Linked DNA regions of Elephas maximus indicus. The protein of the gene in region 1 interacts with the protein of each later gene in a pairwise test. Links are inferred from orthologs where the notes say so. Each region holds a gene or a part of one and is shown on either strand. Other genes may lie near its edges.

Region 1 (11,495 bases):
ACTCTCTACATGTGCAATGTATTGACACTAATTGTATTCATCATGTTGTACAACTATCACCATTATCCATCTCCAGTTTTTTCCATCACCCTTAACAGAACTGTGGTGTTTCCTAAGCAAAGTCCCCTCCCCCCATCCGCCCCCGGTAAACACTAACAACCTTAGGTCTGTATACATTAGTCTGTTCTAGGCCTTTCATATAAGTTGAATCACGTAATATTTGTCCTTTTGTGACTGACACCCATCTGTATTATTAGTTCTGTAATATTTTTCTTTCAATAAGGTCATTCTTTTAAACTTAGGCAAATTTATTTGAAAAGGAAAATGTGCACCACTGACTTCAAATGGAAAACCGCTCTCATTTGCCATAAAGAAAAGGTAACTATAAAATTAAGTATAAGGAGAGCAAACCAAGATTATTAAATTTTAGCTAAATCCTGTTTCTTGCTGAAGGCTCTGAGCCAGAGCCTTGCTTTCTTTTCCTTAAAAACTGAGGTGTTAAAGACATAAACCAGTTGCTGTCGGGTTGATTCCAACTCATAGTGACCCCAAAGGACAGAGTGAAACTGCCTCATATGGTTTCCAAGGCTATAATCTTTACAGAAGCAGACTGTCTCATCTTTATTCTGTAGAGTGGCTGGTGGGTTCGAACCACCAGCCTCTTGGTTAGCAGCCAAGTGCTTAACCACTGTACCACCAGGGCTCCCTTGTTAAAGACATAATCAGAAAAACAAACAAACCTATTGCCGTTGAGTCGATTCTGACTCATAGTGACCCTATAGGACAAAGTAGAACTGTCCCATAGGGTTTCCAAGGAGCAGCTGGTAGATTCAAACTGCCAGCCTTTTTGGTTAGCAGCTGTAGTTCTTAACCATTGCACCACCAGGGCTCTGTCAGGGCTCCGTTAAAGACACAGCAGCTGTTAAATGAGACTTTCTCCCCAGGTAATTAGAGGAACAGAAAGAAAATCAAAAAAGAATGCCTATCTCCCGATATGACCCAGTGTTATTTAGTACAGAATTTTGAGACCATAAAACCATCTGGCATCCCACCAGTGCCCTACCTATGATATTTTGGAGAACACTGACCTAAACCAACTCTCTCTTCCTATTTTATGGATGAAGAAACTGAGACTCCAAGAGAGGAGATGACTTGCCCAAGATTTCAGAGAGTCAGTGGCTTTAGCCAGACCTGGAATCCAGCTGGGACACTTTTCAAGGCATAGCTTTACTTTCGTGGGGTGAATCGGTGAAGATGAAAAGCTTTAAGGACTGATAGTGGAATTTCAGGCATACAGCAGCCACTGGGGACACTGTATAGGGTCGCTATGAGTCAGAATTGATCAAAAGCAACAGATTTGGTTTTTTGGCTAGGGACAACCTGGTAGAAAGGGAGAAGACGCTAGCAAGCAGCGACCTAAGATGCATCAATTGGTCTCAACCCACCTGGATCAAAGGAGAATGAAGAACACCAAGGACACAAGGCGATTATGAGCCCAAGAGACAGAAAGGGCCACATGAACCAGAGACTACATCATCCTGAGACCAGAAGAACTAGATGATGCCTGGCTACAACCGATGACTGCCCTGACAGGGAACACAACAGAGAACCCCTGAGGGAGCAGGAGAGCAGTGGGGTGCAGACCCCAAATTCTCATAAGACCAGACTTAATGGTCTGATTGAGACTAGAAGGACCCCGGTGGTCATGGCCCCCAGACCTTCTGTTGGCCCAGGACAGGAACCATTCCCGAAGCCAACTCTTCAGACATGGATTGGACTGGACAATGGGTTGGAGAGGGATGCTGGTGAGCAGTGAGCTTCTTGGATCAGGTGGACACTTGAGACTATGTTGGCATCTCCTGCCTGGAGGGGAGATGAGAGGGTGGAGGGGGTTAGAAGCTGGCAAAATGGACACGAAAAGAGAGAGTGGAGGGAGAGAGCGGGCTGTCTCCTTAGGGGGAGAGTAATTGGGAGCGTGTAGCAAGGTGTATATGGGTTTTTGTGTGAGAGACTGACTTGATTTGTAAACTTTCACTTAAAACACAATAAAAATTATTAAAAAAAAAAAAGAAAGAAAGAAAGGAGGCAGATGTGGCTCTGATCACAGAAGTCAATAGACTCCAGGTCCTTTCCTCTCCGGTAGAGCACAGCCCCATCCCCAGTTCCTTTTCACCCCAGCATTGCGGGTCAGAGGTCAGAGGCCAGGCCTCATCAGAGCTCCAGCAAATAGAAACAGCCTATCTGCTCACACACCTGCATAGAGAGATGTTTTGGAATGAAGTAGATTCATGAAAGCTGAACTGTGTCAGGAAAGGGCACATTTTTGCATTTAATATTTGATCCCTATTTATTTTCTCACTTTTTAACAAATGTGTACATAAGGTTTATTTATAAATCATAAGGATTTATAGCGTTAATCCTCATGACAACCCAACGAGGTAGGTACTATCAATATCCCTATTTTACAGATAGGGGAACTGAGGCCTAGAGAGCTTAAGTAATTTGCCCAAAATCTCACCACTAAGAAGTGGTGGGATTTGAACCCAGAAAACGTTTAACAAGGACAGGAGGCTTCCTCAATGCATTTAATCCTTACGACTGCAATGCTAGGGAGGTATAATAAATCCCATTTGATAGATGCAGAAACTGAGGCTCAAGGCTATTTGGGCTCTAGATTGTAGACAGAGGAGTCAAATTCCTGTCTGCCCAAGCTCTTAACCTCTTTATTATACTCCCTGGATCATTTATCAGGAATCTTGGTCTAGGATTGCACTGCTCAATAGGGTATCCACAAGCCACATGTGGCTATTGAACACTTGAAATTTGGCTAGGGTGACTGAGGAACTCCTGTGACTGATTTTTTAATTTATTTTAATTGTAAAACTGAAGGAGGCGAAATATTTTTCCCAATAAACACAACTTAGTTGTTTCAGCAGGACTACGTTTCACTTTAGCCAGTGACAATTTGGTGTCCAAACTGAGCGGTACTGTGAGCGTAAAATACGTACCAGATTTCAAAGATATCAGTATGGCAAAAAATCTTAATATCTCATTAATAATTAAATTTTATGTTAATTATATGTTAAAATACCAATAAAACCAAAAAACCCAAACCCAGGGCTGTCAAGTCGATTCCGACTCATAGAGACCCTATAGGACAGAGTAGAACTGCCCCACAGTTTCCAAGGAGTGCCTGGCAGATTTGAACTGCCAACCCCTTTGGTTAGCAGCCATGGCACTTAACCACTATGCCACCATGGTTTCCAAAATAATAATATGTTCGAGATATTGGATTAAGTATAAGAAATTATTAAAATTATTTACACCTGCTTCTTTTTATTTTTTTTTAATGCAGCAACTATAAAATCTGAAATTACATAGGTGGCTCACATTACGTTTCTATTGGACAGTGCTGGACTAGAGAGTAGGGGTTCAGTAAACCCAACTACGACAAGGCCCCCAAATCTGGGGGCTATGCCCAGGGTGTAGTTCCAGTGGCCATACCCACAAGTCCAGATGGAGGCCACTGGATTGCAAAGGCTGTAAAATGTCCCAGGACAGGGTGGGGACTGGAGTCAGCTGTCCTAGGTTCAAATCTCAAATCTGCCTCATCCAACCTGGGTGGCCTTGGGTGAGCCCCTCGCCTTGGCTCCTCTATGGAAAGGAGGCGACAGTGCCCATCCTGCAGTCCTCTAACTGACTCATGTTCCTGCCTCTGGGCTTTGCACTTCCTGTTTCTTCTGTCTCCCCTGCATACCTTTGCACCCCTCACCTCTTCCTTCCTTGAGCTCTTAGTTCAAATATCATCTTCCTGATGAGGCCTACTGAAAATAGTCACCCCTCGGTCCTGGTAACAGAGGTGTGTCTAAGATATGGGATGTATGTCACGTGCCCTGGGGGCCACTTGAAGGTAGGGGTGGGGATGGGAGGGTGCCACTGAGCAGTTTCTATTAACCCGGTAGGGTCCAACGTCCTTCCTCAAGCATGGTAGAAAGAACAAATCTACCTTATTTTATTCAAGAAAATAAATACATGATGCTTAAAATCAGTTTTAAACAGTTTTCATTTTATTTTCTTGACAATGGTCTGTCTCCTCACTGAATTCTAAGATCCGCGAGGGCAGGGATGGGTCAGTCTTGTCTCCGCTGAGTTAAGACCAGCATTTAGAGCGGGGCCCACAACCCAGCAGTATTCCACAAGATAGGGATGTAAGAGCAAGCTCACTGCAGTGCTGGCTTCAGGCAGGTGCTCAGAGAACAACCATCTCCGCCATTCTTCACCTCTGACCACTGGCCCTTCCAGCCTGAACCTTGGTGTCCTGGTGTAAAAAGTGAGCTCAAACAACAAGTGTTGATGAGGACTTGGAGAAGTTGGAACGCTTATCCATTGCTGGTGGGATTGGAAAATGATATAGCTGCTGTGGAAAACAGTTTGGTGGTTCCTTCAAAAAGTTAAACAGAATTATCACATGACCCAGCAATTCCACTCCTAGGTCTGTACTCAAAAGACTTGAAAGCAGATACTTGTACAAACAGATACTCGTACACCAGTGTTCATTGCAGCATTATTCACAATCGCCAAAATGTGGAAACAACCTAAATGTCCATCAAGAAATGAATGGATGAAGAAAATATGGTATATACATACACAATGTGTATACGTACACACTTAGCCATAAAGAGAAATGAAGTCTTGATACAGGGTACAACATGGATGAACCTTGAAAACACTATGCTAAGTGAAATAAGTCAGTCACAAAAGGACAAATACTGTATGATCCCACTTACATGAAACTTCTAATATTGGCAAATGTATAGAGATCTAAGTTTATCAGTGGTTGCCAGGGGCAGAAGGGAGGGGAAGAGAGGAGTCATTGCTTACGGGGCACTGAGTTTCTTTTTAAGGGTGATGGAAACGGATAGTGGCGATGATTGCTCAACACGATGAACGTAATTAATGTCACTGAATTGTACATGTAAAAAATGTTGACACAGCAAATGTTTTCTTATATATATTTTTATCAAAATAAAGAAAAAGATGAGTTCATTCATCCCTCCCCAGTGGGGGAGTCCTCAGGGTGAAATGATATCTCAGATCCCCCTGGTGTGCCCCAAAGGCTGGGGATTCTGAGACACAGATGAGCTGGTCCCTGGGGCCAGAAATAAAGGAAAGTGACTCTGTCCCTCCTCCCATCCAGCCTCTGCCTGAGGAGTTATTTTCTGACATTTGGTGAATTCAGATATCAAGACCTAACATAGATTTCTAAGAAAGGTGTTGGACCCCTGAGGCTGCTCAGGGAGGCTCCGCTGAACAGCATATGGCACCAGGGGCTCCCAGGCCTCTGGGTTCAAGTCATTATAGGCCTCTTCCCATCTCTACGTTTCCACTGTCTCCACTTTATTTATTGAGCACCTACGATACGTCACACACTGTTTTAAGCATTTTACATGTATTAACTTATTTAATCCTCAAAACAACTCTATGAAGTGAATACTGTTATGAGCCCATGATAAAAAAAAAATTTTTTTTCTTTTTTTATGCCCCATGATAGGGAGGAGGAAACTGAAGCAGGGCTTTAAGTTGTTTTCCTGAGGTAGGACAGTAGGTCAAGGCAGAGGTGGGGTACACACTTAGGCAGGGTCCTTCTAGGTTGGAGCCCTGGCGTGCAGTTGTTCTTAACCATTAGACCACACTGCTTCTATCATGAATGCCGTAAAGCCCACCAGATTGTGAAGCTCAGGCCTCCCTAGGCACCCCACTGGTTCTTATGAGCCAGGAGTCAGCTCTTAAGTCTGTGAGTCTTTGCAAAGCTCCTGGGTTGCTGTCCCACAGCTGGACCTCAGGCTGCTCTTCCGCAGAATGGGGACAACGGGGCTTTCTGCCCAAGGTTCTCCTAAGAGTTAATAAGGCGGTAGTGGGCTGGTGCTTTATAAACAGGGAAGCACCCGTGAAACATTCAGTTTGCTCTTTTTCTTCTCAGCAACATCTTGGGAGGGAAAGACGTTCTTTCCATTTCACAGTTGGGGAAATTGGGGCTCATAACAATAAACTGATTTTTCCCAGATGATGGGGAGAGCCAGAGGCTGATGTCCGCACTCAGCTCCGGGCGCGGGGGGCCGAGTGGCGGTGGACTCGGCCCTGGTAGACGGCGAGGCCAGGGTGCCCGGCAGTGAGCTGACCTAGGAGGCGAGGCCCGGGCGGAGCGAGCCGGGGCGGTGACCCCGGGGGCGGGGCGCTCGGGATGGTGCAATCCCCCGTCTGAGGGCATCAGCGGCGCGGATTAGTTCAGGTTTACATCACCCGGGCTTGGAGACGAGCTACGCCCGGCGCCCCCGAGACATTCGCAGCTCGAGCGGCGGCAGCGGCAGCCTCGTCAGCGTCCGGCGACAGCGGGCGGGAGCTAGACCGGAGCCGGAGCTCAGCCGCAGCGGAGCGGTCCCCGGTTCACCTCGGGGACCCTGCCGACTCTGCGCTTGGACGGTGCCGGGAACCACGCGGGACACGAGACCAAGGTAACCGGCAGAGCAGGAGAGCGAACCGGCCGGGGCCGACCGGAGTGGGGAGCCCGGCGCGCACGGGGGGCCAGAGCCTCGGGGTGCTCGAGGGTGGCTACATGTTACGTACACACACGCGCACACATACACACGCAACTTTTCACAAGTCCCGCTGTCCGCGGGGCGCACCGGGCCCAGCGTCCCCACAGGTCTCGTAGGGTGCGGGGTCTCTCGCGGGGCGTAGTAGCTGTGACCCAGGGGGAAAGGAGATCCCGGGATGGAGGTGTCCTTGTGTCACCCCAGAGAGGTGTGCGGTGTTGTCTGTTTTGTGTGAGTGTGGACTGGGGAAGTTGTGAGTTTTGTGGGGGAGGTCTGCGCGGGTCATTGGAGAACTGTAGAACTCTGTAGGGTCTGCGTCTGAGTGTCTGCGGGCTGTGCGGGGGTCCGCGGGGGTCTCGGGAATCTGCGTGCCTCCTTGGATGGTGCGAGCTCTGGGGACAGGTGTTGGATGTGCAGAGGGCCCGGCCGGTGCGGAGCTGGGGTGCCCCGGGAGCTGGGTGCGGGTGCAAGGCAATGGGAACGAAGAGGCCGCACGCGGGGTGTCGGACTGGGTGAGCGGGGGTGCGGGGAGTGCCGGGCGTAGGCCGCAGTGTGCACCCGGCAGCTTGCCGCGGATTTGCAGGTTGTACTCTGCGCGCATAGGTTTTGTTCCCGCAGACGGTTTGTGGTGTACCTGCAGTCTCTGGGGCAGGGGGGACGAGGGCCCAGATCTGCCCCTTCGCCGGGCCCTAGGATCCAACCTCCTACCCTTTGCCTCACTGTCTTCCAGTCACGGGCAGCTCTTCCGTTTCCACTGGGTCTTCTGTCCCCAGATGTGCGCCGCACGCTGCTTCCGCGCCCACGGGAGGGCCCAGGGCAGGCGGGGCTTCCGATGGCCCGCCGCCCCCTCTCCTCCGGTCGGAAGCATGTGGCCTTGTCGGTGTTGATCGTGGTTGTGATAGTTCTGGGGGATGTGTGTGTGTGTGTGTGCCATGTAATGAGGTGTGCGTCCCTTTCTGCTCTGAACGTGTGTCTTCGACTGGCTTGGATGAAGTTTTTTTTTGGGGGGAGGGGTGTACACCTGTCTGCCCTGGATGCGGATGAGTGGTGGGTATGACTCCTCCTCACTTCTCCCCCTCTCCCTATGGCAGAGAAAAGCAGGAGGTAGATATAAAGGGCTGCCTCCATCCTACAGTGAAGGTTCTAGGCTTGCCGTGTGGCCTGCAGAGTCAGTCCCTTGCTCATTTAGAGACTCAGTTACCCTATCTGTCCAACGGAGCTGATACCAGGCCCCATCCCCCTCTTCACCTGGTGTGTGTGGGGCGGAGGAGGGGGGCGGTGAAGCACTTACTCAGCCAGGTCCCATCTCACTGGACTCTTAGAACAGCCCGGGGAGGTGAGGTAAGGAGTGTTATCCTAGCCTCATCCCTGAAGGGGATTTCTGGGGAGATTTCTAAGACTTTCAAGAGTAGCACTTAAGTACATTCAGCTATGAATAATAATGATAAATAATAATAGGACAATCGAACCCATCCAAATCCATTTTCAAATCCATTGCCAACAAGTCAATTCCTATGCATAGTGACCCTATAGGACAGAGTAGAACCCCCCCATAGGGTTTCCAAGGAGCGGCTGGTGGATTTGAACTGCCCGCCTTTAGGTTAGCAGCTGAGCTCTTAACCACTGCAGCACCAGGGGACCCATAGAACAACAGTAGTGACCCTCTCCGACATGCAATGGTTAAGGGCTTCTCTGCTGGGAAAGGTCAGAGGTTCAAACCCCCCCAGTTGCACTGCGGGAGAAAAGACCTGGCAATCTGCTCCTGTAAAGATTACAGTCTAGGAAACCCTGTGGAGGCAGTTCTACTCTGTCCTACAGGGTTGCGGTGAGTTGGAATCCCCTCAACTGCACACATAGCAATATGCGGCAACAGGAGTCCCTGGCTGGTGCAAATGACTCCAGTTGGAGTCCACCCAGAGGCCCCTCTGAAGAAAGTCCTGGGGACCTACTTCTGAAAAATCAGCCATTAAAAACCTCATGGAGCACAGTTCTACTCTGACACATGGGGTTGCAGGGAGTCAGAACTGACTTGACAGCAACATTTTTTTTTTTTTTTTTTTTGATCCTCCTACAGGGCCACGCTAAGCTCTACGTAATTTGAGTTTTCATTTCATCATCACAAAAATCCTGTGGGCTTTGCATCCTCTTCCCATTTTACAGTTGAGGGAACTGAGGCTCAGAAATTTGAGGAATTTGCCCAGAACTATCCAACCAGGAATGAATGGAGCCAGGATTAGAACCCAGGAATATCTGACTCCAACCCCTTCCCCCCATCACATTCTTTCCAAGAAGGGTTATGGGCTTTCACTGGGTTGGGAGTGTCCCCTCCCACCCAAGGCAGCCTATGGGAGCTGCATGATTGGAGCAGGGGGTCTCCATCTCAGGACCAACTTGCATGATGTTTCCCATTCATCCTGCCTCTGCTTGGACTGTTTGTCCTTTATCGGGGCTGAAGTCTGGCTTGATCTAATGTCTCAGACCTACGTCTCCAATGTCCTCATCTGGAGCCTAAATGGTTGGACAGATGGGTCCGGGAGAGAAGCTTCCCACCCTGACCGGCCATTACATTGTCCTCTCTCCCACTCACCGCACACAGTTCTCAACTGGGCATGTGGCACTTTACTCCACAGTGGAATGAGGGAATCTTGGGGCCTTTGAGAGACCCTCCCTGCTCAGTCCCATTTCTCTGATGTGACACTGGAGCACTCAGGTGTCTGTCTCATAGACTAACTGCATATGAACTCTGATTACAGCGGCTCTGGGCCATTGGCCTATTCATACAGCAGAGAAAAGTCACATTTGAGAAAAGAAATACGCTCTCTTTTGAAATACCCAACAATCAACGAAAGCAGAATCTTTATTTTAAAATTTTGAAATAGAAAAATTTCCTTGCTTCCATTGCAAATCCCTTCCTCTCCAGAAGCTTCTGTGGCCAATTTACTCTGGGTCCTTCCAGACCTTTTCCTGCACACTCACACACCTACTTATGTACAGATATGGAGATGCATTGTTCTATGTGCTGTTGAGTTTTTTCACAAATGGAATCACTTCAAGTGTATTGTCAGGCAACTTGCTTTGTTCATTCACTTGACAATGTACACCCATTCTCTACATCCATTCATACAAACGTCTAGTACATATTCCATTCATTCACCCTCATCCTTCCTTCCTTCCTCCCCCCTGCTTTCAACAGATGATAAATGTCTATACAACCAGACTCAATGGACACAGTGCTGAGTCTCTCTCCCTCTCACCCCACCACCAAGCTCATCTTTCTGTTTGACTTTTTGTTTTTCTTTTCCCCTTAACTGTTCACCCTGGAGGTCTTTCTAATTAGCACGTAAAGAGCTCCCTCAGTCTTTTCAATGGCTGCATAACCTTCCATTGTATGGGTGAAGTATAACTCACTTAACCGGTCCCCTAAAGGTGGACTTCCGGTTTGCCATTCTTTTTCTATATTGTACAGGGTGTCAGGAAATAACCTTGTACTCGCACCATTTTGAGGTTCCTCAGCTATTAACTGAAAGGTTGGCGGTTGGAACCCACTGATCAATGCTTTGAAAGGCCTGGAGATCTGCTTCTGCAAAGACTACAGCCAAGAAAACCGAATGGAGTTGTTCTGCTGTATCACATGGGGTTGCCATGAGTCGGCACTGACTTGACAGCAATGGGTGCATTATTACACACACACATCTAAAGGGTAAATTCCTGGCGATGGGATTAATTACTGAATCAAAGCGTGTGTGCATTTTTTATTTTGATATTATCAAAATGTATGCCATTGAGGTTGCACCATTTTCCCGCCACCAGAATGTCCTTGTTGTTAGTGGCTGCCATGGTGCACACCCTCCTTCACAACGTCTCCAGTATGCTACTCTTTCTGCTTAGATGCAACGTGTCTAAAATGAAACTCAACTACCTTCCTCCAGAGTTCCAAAAGTAAGGGTTTCTCCCCTAGCTCAGGAAATAAAGCTACCACGCCTTTTCCTTACTTCAGGAACCTAATACTGGACCTCACTGACTCCACCCTCTCTCTCACCCCCACGTCCAGTCCACTACGGAGCCTCTGGATCCTCCTCCTCTGAGCCTTTGAAACTATGGCTGTGCTCTGGTGCCAATGGTTAAGAGCCTGGCTGTTAACCAAAAGGTCAACAGTTTGAATCCACCAGCCACTCCTTGGAAAGCCTATGGGGCAGTTCTAGTCTGTCCTATAGGGTCGCTACGACTTGGAATCGACTTGACAGCAACGGGCTTGGTTTTTATTTTTTTGGTAATCTTTACAGAAGCAGACTGCCATGTCTTTATCTCATGGAGCGGCTGGTGCGTTTGAATAATCACCTTTCAGTTAGCAGGCGAGTGCTTAACCACTTCGTCACCAGGGCTCCTTCAGCTGTACTATAGAAACAAGCAGTTTAGCAGCAGATGAGATGAAATAGAAGTTTATTTCTCTCCTGTGTAAAAACTCTGGAGGCAGGCAGCCCAGGGCTGGTCTGTGCTCCCAGTGTCAGAGTCAGGCTCTACTCTTGTTGCTCCACTGTATATGTAGTACTTCCTGGTCCAAAATGGATGCTGGGGCTCCAGCAATCGGGTCCACATTCCAGCCAACAGGAAGGAGGAAATGAGGGTAGGCCCTCTCTTTAAGGACATCACCTTGTGAGTTGGACGCAATACTTCCATTAATATCCTATTAGCCACATCAATACATCAATACCTAGCTGCAAGGGAGACAGAAATGTAGTCTTTATTCCGAGTGGCCTCGTGCTCATCTAAAAACTTCAGGTCCTAATCTTTTGTGAGAAGGGGGGACCAGAGACTGAGGGACAACCAGCCATCTCTGCCATGTGGCGCTTGTAGAGCCCTTCAGAATAGGACCCTGCTCATCTCACCAGCCTTATTTCTTGA
Region 2 (10,735 bases), on another chromosome or scaffold:
CAACACTTCTGAAACTCACAACTTGGAGACATGGTGGCTGAGGCAACGAAGGGTGCAGCATCTTGTCTGAAACCACATCTGGGACACTCTGTTGCTAACTGTCAGCTTGCACTATCCTTCTCCTACCTAGAACCAGTTCCTGTGGGTGTGGGTGGAGAGGACCCCCAGGGCTGGCCCAATCCTTTACTCCCAGACAAGGAAACCGAGGCTCTGAAAGGGGAGGTGTGGGAGGCTGGATGATAGCCCCTAAGGAGGCCCATGTCTATGACTATTTTACCTACATGGCAAAAAGCACTTCGCAGATGTGATGAAGGACCTTGTGATGGGGAGGGCATCCTGGATTATCCTGGGGGGCCCTGAATTAGTAATGACTAATGACAAGGGTCCTTTTAAGGCGGGGGGGCAGAATGTCAAAGGAGGAAATAGAAGACATGACAACTGAAGCAAGACGTTGGGGTGATGCAAGGAAGAGGTCAAGAGCCAACGAAAGCAGGTGGCCTCCAGAAGCTGCAAAAGGCAAGGAAACGGATCCCCTGCCCCCCTCAGAACCTCCAGAAGGAACACAGTGCTGGGGACCCATTTTAGACACCTGACCTCCAGAACTGTACAAGAGTAAATGTGGGTTGTTTAAGCCACGAGGTTGGTGGCAATTTGTTACCATGGCAAGAGGAAACTCATTCAGAAGGTGACCACAGGGGCTGTCAGAGCTGGTACAGTACAGCGTGGGGCCTAACAGGCTGAGCTGCAACTGCTTCAGCGCTGGGGATCCAGGGACGAGGCAGGAGCAGCAAGGGGAGGGAAGGGGCTGTGAGGACTCTGTGCTCTGACACGTGGCAGGCTCGTGTCCAGGGCTGCCCTTTCCCCAGCCAAGCTGGCCTTGGCCTTTTTGCCTTGTTTGCCCAATGCCCACCTCCAACCCTGCCTCCTGGCCTGTGTGACCCTGACACTGGACCTGGCGCCTCTCAGAGACCACAGTATTGGATTTCCCAGCCTCTGTCCATGAGGAATTCACGTAGAAATGCATGGGTGTGCACATGGGACTGGGGGAACAATTTAGTGCTCGGGGACACACTTATGTCCAAAGACATCTGTCTCCAAGGTTGTGAGGAGAATAGAACCACATGTGGAAGGTACAGGGGAGGGCAATAAACATGTACAGTTTTTGAGCTCCTATTAAGCACCTCCCAGCTTTACCAACATCATTTCCCAGAATCTTCCCAGCGCCCCAGCCTTAGAAATAACGAATGCTCACAGGGCACCTCCCACCTGCTAGGCCCTATTCTAGAAAGTTAACATGCGTTAGCCCATTTAATCCTCACAATGACACTATGAGGTGGGTCCTCTCATCCCCATTTTCCCCATTTTATGGGTTGAGGAAACTGAGTCACAGAGAGACGATGTCACTTGCTGAGGGTCATGGAACCAGAGTGGTGCAGTTGGGATCTGAACCTGGCAGGCTCTGACCTGTACTGTAGAAGCAGCTGAGGCTCAAGCAGATTAAGGACCTTCCCGAATCTGTGGCTAGGAGTAAGCGGTGTGGCCGCAGGATCAGAACCTGCGTCGCCTGATGCAAACCTTGGGGGCCTTTTCCGTCACACCAGCTGTACCCTGACTGGGAAGTGGGTGAGGAGGGCCTCCTCGAGGGCAGCGGGAATGGCTGGACTCGACAGAATTTGCAAACCGTGAATATGAGCAAACCTGAGGTGAGGGTCTGAGTGGTGACCCCCAGCAGGCTCTGCCCTGGAGTGTGGGTTGGGGACCCCCATAGAACTGAGAGACCAGGGTGTGTGAGGCCTGGAAGTGGTGCTGCGGAAGCTGGGGCTCTAGCTAGCAGTGTAATTCTAAGCAAATCTTTTGCTTCTTTGGGCCCGTCCTGCCCCTGCCAGGGCAGCTGGTTGGCTTCAGGGACCTACAGCCACTCCTTGGCATTGAGTCTTGATTCTCAGGGTCCTGCACTGGTGTCCAATTTCCCTCCCTTGCTCCTGTCCACCCCAGCTGTGCTGGAGCCTCTCCCTGATCCAGGGCTCCACTCACCAGGAGCTGTTGCCAGGTGCACCAGGGCCCCCAGAGAATCCCCTCCCCATTAAAGAGCCAGGGATGATGCAACCTGCCTGCAACAGCCGCCTCACTCCCTGAGCCTGGCCCCTCCGCACCGAAAAAGAGTCCCCAGCAACCCTACTGTGCTCCTAGCCCTGAGCTCAGGGCCTGAAGGGGCTGGGGGCCTGGCCCTGAAGGCCTCTTTGAGGCTGGGGGAGGTGGGGATATCTGAGTCCTGGAGGGGCCAGGGGCCCAGGTCTAGGGTGGGCCCAGGAAAAGGTTCAGGGTGCCAGGGGCCCAGTCTAACTACAAGACAAACCCAAACTGAGGGCTCAGGGTATGGAGTTGTAGGCAGCCACAGATGACCCGCAGTGTGTAAACTAAAACATGCCAGAAGGGTTGGGAGCTAAGCGTGTGAATTGGCACCCACTCGGCACTAGGGCTGAATCGGGCGGAATCCAACAACTCTACCAGACAAGGACATAAGGCCCAGAGAGAGAAAACGGCATGGGAGGCTGGGATGTCGGCCACCATGGTCCCTGCCCCAATTCCTTCCCAGTCAGCAGGTGCCCCACAAACTAGTAACAGGATTCCCATTACCAGTTATTTAAAAAATACCCTACCTGGGGGCCCTCTCAAAAACCCATGTTGTTGTGTGCCACAGAATTGATTCTGACTCATAGCAACCCTACAGGACAGAGTAGAACTGTCCCATAGGGTTTCCTAGGCTGTAATCTTTACAGGAGTAGATTGCTGGGTCTTTCCTCCAACAGAATGGCTGGTGGGTTGGAACTGCCAATCTTTTCGTTAGCAGCTGAGCACTCAACCATTGTGCTACCAGGGGTCTTTCAAAAATCCATAGTCCCAGTCTAACCACAAGACAAACCCAAAGTGAAGTGCATTCCAGAAAACAGCCAACCAGCCCTCTTCAAATCTGACCAGATCATCAAAGCCAAGGAATGTCTGAGCAGTGGCTACAGCCCAGAGGCAGCCACGTGTGATGTGGTGCCTTGGAGGGGATCCTGGGACAGAACAAGGCCATGCAGGGACAAGGAATGAAATCAGGTAAGTGTGGCGTTTAGTTTGTTGTAATGTGTCAATGCTGGTTCCAGCACTGTGACAACTGTACCTTCCTCTTGTAAGTTGTTAACAGCGGGGAAAACTGAATGTAGGGTACACAGAAACGCTACACTTTCTCTGTAACTTTTCGGTAAATCTAAACTTTTACTAAAATAGTTTATTTACCTAGTTTCCATATATATAACCCAGAGGGCCTTCTCAGAAGAAGACTGTAGGTGGGGGATAGAGTGAGAAAATAGACCTCAACAGGGAAGGTGCCAAAGGGCTGGGCCAGGGCTCAATCTTGCCAGCAGCAGGTTTTCAGCTGGAGTTGGGGCTTCCCTTTTCTGGTAGTCTGGACAGGGCCTCCCCAGGCTAACAGCCTGCCCGACAGTCAACCCTAATCCCTGCCACCTGCTACTGTTCAAATATCTACACTGAGACATGGAGGGGAGTCCATCCTTAAGCCTCACACCAAAGCTCTAAGGCCATTATGGTCTGAAAGGATCCACTGCTGGCAATGGAAACAGAACATATGCATCTCAGTATTAACAGCAAGAACAGTAATAGTAACAACCCTGAGCAGCAGCCACTATGTGCCAAGCACTACTATAAAGGACAGGCAGAGATTAATTCATTTAATCCTCATTGCCCTAAGAGGCACATGCTATTATTGGCCACGTTCCACCGCAAGGGAAGTCAAGGCATGGGGAAATTAGGGCCACACGGCTAGTCTGGGTTTGAACCCAGACAATCTGGCTCCAGGGTCTGAGCTCTTAAAGTGCTGCCCTATACTGCCTAAGTAATAGCGTAGCCCCTATGAATCCCAGGAACTACAGGGCTAGTGCTCAAATCTGGCTCTAACGGAAGGTGGTCAGATCTCAAGATAGGCTAGCCCAGCTAGCCTCAAAACCCACCTTCCCCGGGTTTTGATTGTTTTGTAGCTGCCCCAAAAGGGATGAGACTGAACTCCATGTGGATGAACGACGAGTGGAAAAGAGAGGGACCTTCTGCAGCACAGCAAAGAGCCATCTCCACCTGGGCCAGCTGGGGGTGATGCGCCCTCTCTTTTAATGAACGGAAGGGTAAAAACCAAAGGAAACCCGATGTCGTCAAGTGGATTCGGACTTATAGTGACCCCGGCTGGAAGACAGTTCCCTGATGCTGAGTGGCAGCTGAGACAAAAAACTGTAAAACCATCGGGAGAAGGGCAGGGGCAGGAGAAAGAACTAGCTGACGAGGGCTGAAGAAGGTGGGCAGGGGCTGTTGAAAAGAGAAAAAGCTGGAGAGGGGGCCATGAGGCCTGAATCCCTCCACCTGGAAGTGGCTGAGCATCTACCACTTGGGAAGGGGAGGGAGGGGATGGCTGGAAATGAACACCAGGGAGGACTGAGACACACAAAAATGACCTCTTAACAGGTGTTGGGTGGTCCAGTGCCTGGGGTTCTGCCAGAAGGGGTGAGACTGGGCACCAGAGTTCCTTTTAATAACAAGGCACCGTTTACCAGGCAAGTATGAGCCCGGTTCTGTGCTTAGGGTTTCGAAGACATCACCTTATTTAACTCTGACAAACAACCCTACCACATGGACACATGAGGCACTGAAAACTTCAGTTATTTGCCCAAGGCCACCCTGGCCGCTCTGTGACTTGAACGAAGGCCATCTGACTCTGACTCAAGCAAGATCTCAAACCTACAAGGCTTTTCAGGCCCGGGCAGCAGCTGAGGGATGAATGGACGGAGAGATTTGGGTGTGGTTGGCAGGAAATTCTTTCATGAAGGGGGGAAGGGAACAGAGAAATGACCACGTGCGAGTCTGAGGGAGGAGAGGCCGGGGTCGGGCTCCAGAGTCAGACAGGAGAGGGCCCGATCCCCAGAAACACGAGCGAGTCTGATCACCAGATCACAGAGAGGAGGAGACTAGACCCCCGGTTCTGAGGGAGGGAGGGGTCTTACCCCCGGGTCAGAAGCAGGAGGGCGCCGGACGCCCGGGTGAGAGGGAGGAGGGGATCCGATCCTCAGATGAGATGGAAGAGGGGGTCCGAACCCCGGGTGAAAGGGAGGAGGGCTCCGGGCCCGCCTCCCGGTTAGGGCCGCACAGGGGCGGAGCGCGGAAGGATCCGGACGGACTGTGCTGCGCCACCTGCGGTATATCTGTCCCCAGTCCCCGGGGCCGCCTCATTCCCCGTCCTCAGATCACGGTTTCCTCACACTAGCGCGACGCCGCCACCGCCCGCGTAGCCCTGGCCATGGCCCTGTAGCCGCGACCCCTCCGTGCCCCCCGGCCCGTCTCCGCGCTCACCGCACCTGCGCTATCCGCTCTTGCCTTCTTTCTTCAGCCGAGGCCTCCGCTGCCTCCCCTTTCTGCCGCCATGGAGTGAGTAACCGCTCGCCCCTCCCTCTCCAACCGCCTTTCCCGCCCTTTCGCTGCGCGCGGCCCTCAAGGCCTGACCGGGGGTTGGGTAGGGAGAAGTGATTGGGGAATCTTGGTTGCGCAGGCGCAGAAGCGGGGGGGCGCCTGTCGGCGCCCATCGGAGCATGCGCACTCGGTCCGAGGTGGGGGGGCAGGGTTCTTCCTGATTGTTTACGCTAAGGGAACGCGTGCGGTTACTGCCGCGCACTAGCTCCCACAGAGTTCCCTCCCCCTCCCCCGGAAACGAGTCTAGCCGTACGCTGTTGGTCATGCGCACCAGCCCACCAGAGCCCGTAATTGTGCGGAAAGGTCGGGGCGTACGCCGCCGCATATGCGCACTGACCCCCAAGAGGGCGGGGAGGGGGGGAATGCATGAGAACACAATTTACACCACCTGGATGACAGATCATGCGCTTTAGCCCTCGGGGAGACGGCGACTTGTGGAAGGGTGGGGGTGGAAGACATTTTCCACAACCTTTCCCCCGCCCTCCTTTCTCCACACTGCGGTGGCGCACAGCGTAGCTTCACTCGCTTTCAGCAGGCATCTGCTGGGGCGGGGCCTAGTTTAGATTGACAGGGAAGAAGGCGGGGCTTAGGGCGAGGAACACAGGTTTCGTGAGGGGCGGGCCAACACGTTGTGGGAAAGGGCGGGGCCAGGCGAGGAGGGGTTTCGTCTGGAGAAAGGCGGGGCCTATAGGGACTCAGGAGGAGTGGAGCTTGGAGGGCACGGGGGCAGGCGGGGAGTGGGGGTTCACTACTAAATTTAAGCGAAGAGTGGAGTCTAAGCACATAGCATTGATGAAGGAACAAAACATGGGGGAATTCCCCTGGGAACTGATTTGAGATGGAATCTAGGGATGGGGCGGAGCCTAAAGGAAACATTTTTGGGGAAGGGGCGTGGCTAGAAGAAAATTCCCCTGGGATTCAGGTTTTTTAATGAAGAAGAGTGTCAAGGGGTGGATGGGAGAGGCCTAAGGAGAATTCCCTTGGGAGTGTGGGGGGCTCAGGGTTTAGAATTCCGAGAGGGGGGAACCTGTTAGCAATGGGGGTATGGCTTCCCGGTGCCTTTGGCTGGTGGCGGTCTGGCTGCTGACTCTGCTCCCTTTGTCTCCAACGTGTAGGTCCTCCGGTTTCGCCTTGGTGCCTGCCTTAGTCCATCTGAGCAACCTCCCAGCTGTTGGTGCTGCCTCCTTCGTTGCCATCCGTGCCCAGCGCCTCTTTTGCAGCCATGTCACTCCTGGCGACCCTGGGGCTGGAGCTGGACAGGACCCTGCTCCCAGCTAGCGGGCTGGGCTGGCTCGTAGACTATGGGAAACTCCCCCTGGCCCCTGCCCCCCTGGGCCCCTATGAGGTCCTTGGGGGAGCCCTGGAGGGCGGGCTTCCAGGGGGGGGAGAGCCCCTGGCAGGTAAGGGCAGGTGGAGAATGGAGGTGGATGAGCTGGGGGGAAGTGGGGGAGAGGGAGAAGGAAGAATTAATTTATTCATTGATTCTGTAAATACAATGCGTCAGGCACTGTTTTAGCTGCTGAGGATAGAGCCAGGAACAAGACTGACATGATTCCTGCCTTCCCAGAACTCACATTCTTGTGGGGAGACAGACAACAGTCAAGTAAAACGAAGATGTATTGGGACTAAGTAGGAAGCACTTAGTGACTGAGCTAGAAAATATCAAAGGGGACCTAGTTTTAGAGTGGGTAGCCAGGATACCTTGTCCAAGAAGGTAACATTAAGCTGTGGCCTGAAGAATGGGAAGGAACGAGCTATCAAAAGGCCCAAGGGAAGAGCATTTCAGGTGAAGGAACAGCATATGCAGAGACCCTGAGACAGGAATTGTTTTAGTCATTACTATATCCCAAATGCTTGACACATTGTAGGTTTTCAGTAATTAATGAATTAAAGTTGAAGCACGGTGTGTGTGTATGTGTGTGTGATGTCATCTAGTTGGTGTTTTAAGGACAAACTAGAGAGTAGATTAGAGGAACCGTAGAAAAAAGTAAAGAGGATGTTGGATTGGTTGAAGAAAAGGTTGGTTGATGGATGGTTGGGTGACTGGTTGGCAGATTGGTTCTTTTGTTGGCTGACTGGTTTTTTGGCTGTTTGACTGGTTGATTGATTAGTTGGCTGACTGACTGATTCATTGGTTGGTTGACTGGTTTGTGGGATGGTTGTCTGGCTGGTCTACAGGTGGTTTGGTTGACTGGTTGACTGCTTCACTGATTGGTTGATGGCTTGGTTTACTGGCTCATTGATTGATTTACTGGTTGGTTGGTTGATTGGTCAAATTGTTGGCTGATTGTTCATTGGTTGCTTGACTGACTTGTTGGCTTGTTGACTGGTTTGATGATTTGTTGATTGGTTGGTTGTTTTACTGAATGAATGGGATGAATGAGTACCCAATTGGATGGAGGACCAGGAACTCAGATGGAACTTTATGTCCCTTCTCCAATTCCCTAGGAGACGGCTTCTCTGACTGGATGACTGAGCGGGTTGACTTCACAGCCCTCCTTCCTCTGGAGCCTCCCTTTCCCCCTGGTGCCCTTCCCCCACCTTCCCCGCCCCCACCTGATCTGGAAGCCATGGCCTCCCTCCTCAAGAAGGAGCTGGAGCAGATGGAAGACTTCTTTCTTGATGCCCCACTCCTCCCACCACCCTCCCCTCCTCCGCCACCCCCACAAGTTCCTCCTCTCCCCCTCCCCACCTTAGACCTCCCCCAGCCCCCTGCCCTGGATACCCTCGACTTGCTGGCCATCTACTGCCGCAGCGAGACTGGGCAGGGGGATGCTGTGGGGTTGGCACCCCTGCCCCCACCACAGCAGCCCCATCCTCCCCCACCTCAGCCCTCTCGCCCAGCCCCGTACCCCAACCCTGCCACCACCCGAGGGGACCGCAAGCAGAAGAAGAGAGACCAAAACAAGTCAGCAGCTCTGAGGTACCGCCAGAGGAAGCGGGCAGAGGGCGAGGCCCTGGAGGGCGAGTGCCAGGGGCTGGAGGCTCGGAACCGGGAGCTGAGGGAAAGGGCTGAGTCGGTGGAGCGGGAGATCCAGTACGTCAAGGATCTGCTCATCGAAGTGTATAAGGCTCGAAGCCAGAGGACACGCAACAGCTAGATGGGCAGGGGCTTTGGCCTGTAGGGGGCACTGGTATTCAGCTCTGGGTCACTTCCGTTTCTGTGGCTGAGGTGGGACCCCTTCATCATCCCTCTACCTCCAGCTTCATTCTACACCCTTCCCTCCTTTATTTTTATCCTTGTCTCCTTTCTAGCCCATTTCTGAATTTGGTCCCCTACTCCATCCTCAGAACTTTGGAACGTTTGGCCTTAGTTAACATCTCCATCCCTCAAGTATCAGCTGAGGAACTGAGAGCTACAGGGAATTCAGGGAGCAGATCAGCGCTTGGAAATAGGGCCTCTTGAGTCCCAAATCAGTGCTTTCTTGCAAGTTGTTCTCGGTGCGGGGTGGAGTGGTCCTGGCTGGAACCTAGAGGTGGGGCCAGGAAGCTATGCAGAATTACTATGCCAATGAGAACAGGGACTCTGGATAGGTAAGTCAGGGAGCGCTTCAAGAAAAAGCAAAAAAACCAAGCCAAGTGACCTTGGGGAGAACTACTTTTGGGGAGAGAGTCCAGAGGTGGCCAAGTTCACAGAGCAGGTGAATATACAGGCAGTGGGGAGGAAGGGGCAGGGTGGGGAATGGCCATAGTTGGTGACTGGGTGTTCAATTTTAGCTCTGGGAGGAAATCAGTGTTTTGTGAAGGTGTTGGGGGATGGGGCTGCATCTAGGTGAGGGAGGGCGGGGAGTGATCCTTTGGGGGTTTGTGAACAAAAATAAAATGACTTTCCTCTTGGTCTCCATGTCTTATCTTTGAGAGGGGAAGTTGGGGAGTAGCTGTATCCACAGCTGATACAATGAACCTCTTTTTAGATTCAGCTAATTTATTAATTAGATAGAAAGTGAAAGAAAGAACAGCCAAAGGTGCCAGCTTCCCTCAGTCCTTGTCTCATACAACAAAAAGGATGACTCCAAAACAAAAGGGGCTGATGGCTGCAATGTGAGTTGTGGGATGCTCTCTTGCTGAGGAGCCAGTTTTCTTATGCAGACCTCTTGGGAGAAATAGGTAAGTTGGAGATGGGCTTGCAGCCCCTCCTTAAAAGCCTCCCATTCTCTTGTCATCAAGAAGACCTAACTGTCATGTAGAGCTCTAGCTGCAAGAGAGTCTGGACAACACACGTGGTTAGCTTTCTAAGCCTTCTTAATATATGGAGTGTGTAATGGAAATTGAGAGAACCAACCAAATAACCAATCAAACTGTCAACCAACCAATCAACCTGTCAACAAATCAGTCAGTGAAGCAGTCAACCAATCAATCAGTAAGTAAACTAGCCAATGAATGAAGCAGTCAGTCAACTAATCGATGAGCTAGTCAACCAAACAACCAACAAACCAGCCAACCAACGAAAGAACGAGTCAACCAACTTGTCAACAAAGGTGCAGTCAATACCATATTTTGCTAATGCATCCATATATTTGCAATAAAAATAAAAAACTATACATATGGTAGCCAAAATAGCCAACCACAGATGTCTACATCCTAATTCCTGGAGCCTGTGAATATAATACCTTACATGGGAAAAGGGACTTTGCAGATGTTATTAAGGATCTTGAGATGGGGAGATTATGCTAGATTATCTGGGTGGGCTAATGTAGTCACAAGGGTCCTTATAAGGGAAAGAGGGAGGTGGGGGGGGGTCAGAGATTTAAAGAGGCTGCACTGCTGGCTGAAAATGGAGGAAGGGATTACAACCCACGGAATGCAGGCAGCCTCTAGAAGCTGGAAAAGGCAAGGAAATGGATTTTCCCCCAGGAGGAACACAGTAAGGCCCATTTCAGTTGCCGTGGTCGCACAGTAGTTAAGTGCTCAGATGCTAACTGAAAGGTTGGTTTGAACCCACCAGCCACTCTGTGGGAGAAAGATGTGGCAGTGTGCTCCTATAAAGATTACAGCCTTGGAAGCATTATAGGGCAGTTCTACTCTGTACTATAGGGTTGCTATGAGTCAGAATGGACTTGATGGCAATGGGTTAAGGCCCATTTCAGCTGTCCCTGGTGGCAAAGTGATTAAGTGCTCGTCTGCTAATTCTAATCCACCAGGTGCACCGCTTCTGTAAAGACTACAGTTTTGGAAACCATATGGGGCAATTCTGCTTTGTCCTATACGGTCATTATGAGTT

Evidence for each region.
Region 2: the proteins of TRIB3 (region 1) and ATF5 interact in a two-hybrid assay, tested with the Homo sapiens proteins (2 studies listed by BioGRID and IntAct). The link is inferred for Elephas maximus indicus from reciprocal best matches to the Homo sapiens genes TRIB3 and ATF5.

Annotation. Positions count from the first base shown.
Region 1 is NC_064843.1:38,421,062-38,432,556, forward strand, and holds the start of TRIB3 (tribbles homolog 3), read left to right. Parts: upstream 1-6,410; 5' UTR 6,411-6,512; intron 6,513-11,495. UniProt on the Homo sapiens protein: Inactive protein kinase which acts as a regulator of the integrated stress response (ISR), a process for adaptation to various stress. Inhibits the transcriptional activity of DDIT3/CHOP and is involved in DDIT3/CHOP-dependent cell death during ER stress.
Region 2 is NC_064829.1:100,368,827-100,379,561, forward strand, and holds ATF5 (cyclic AMP-dependent transcription factor ATF-5), read left to right. Parts: upstream 1-5,382; 5' UTR 5,383-5,472; exon of another isoform or gene 5,473-5,491; intron 5,492-6,629; 5' UTR 6,630-6,736; coding exon 6,737-6,914; intron 6,915-7,962; coding exon 7,963-8,615; 3' UTR 8,616-9,253; downstream 9,254-10,735.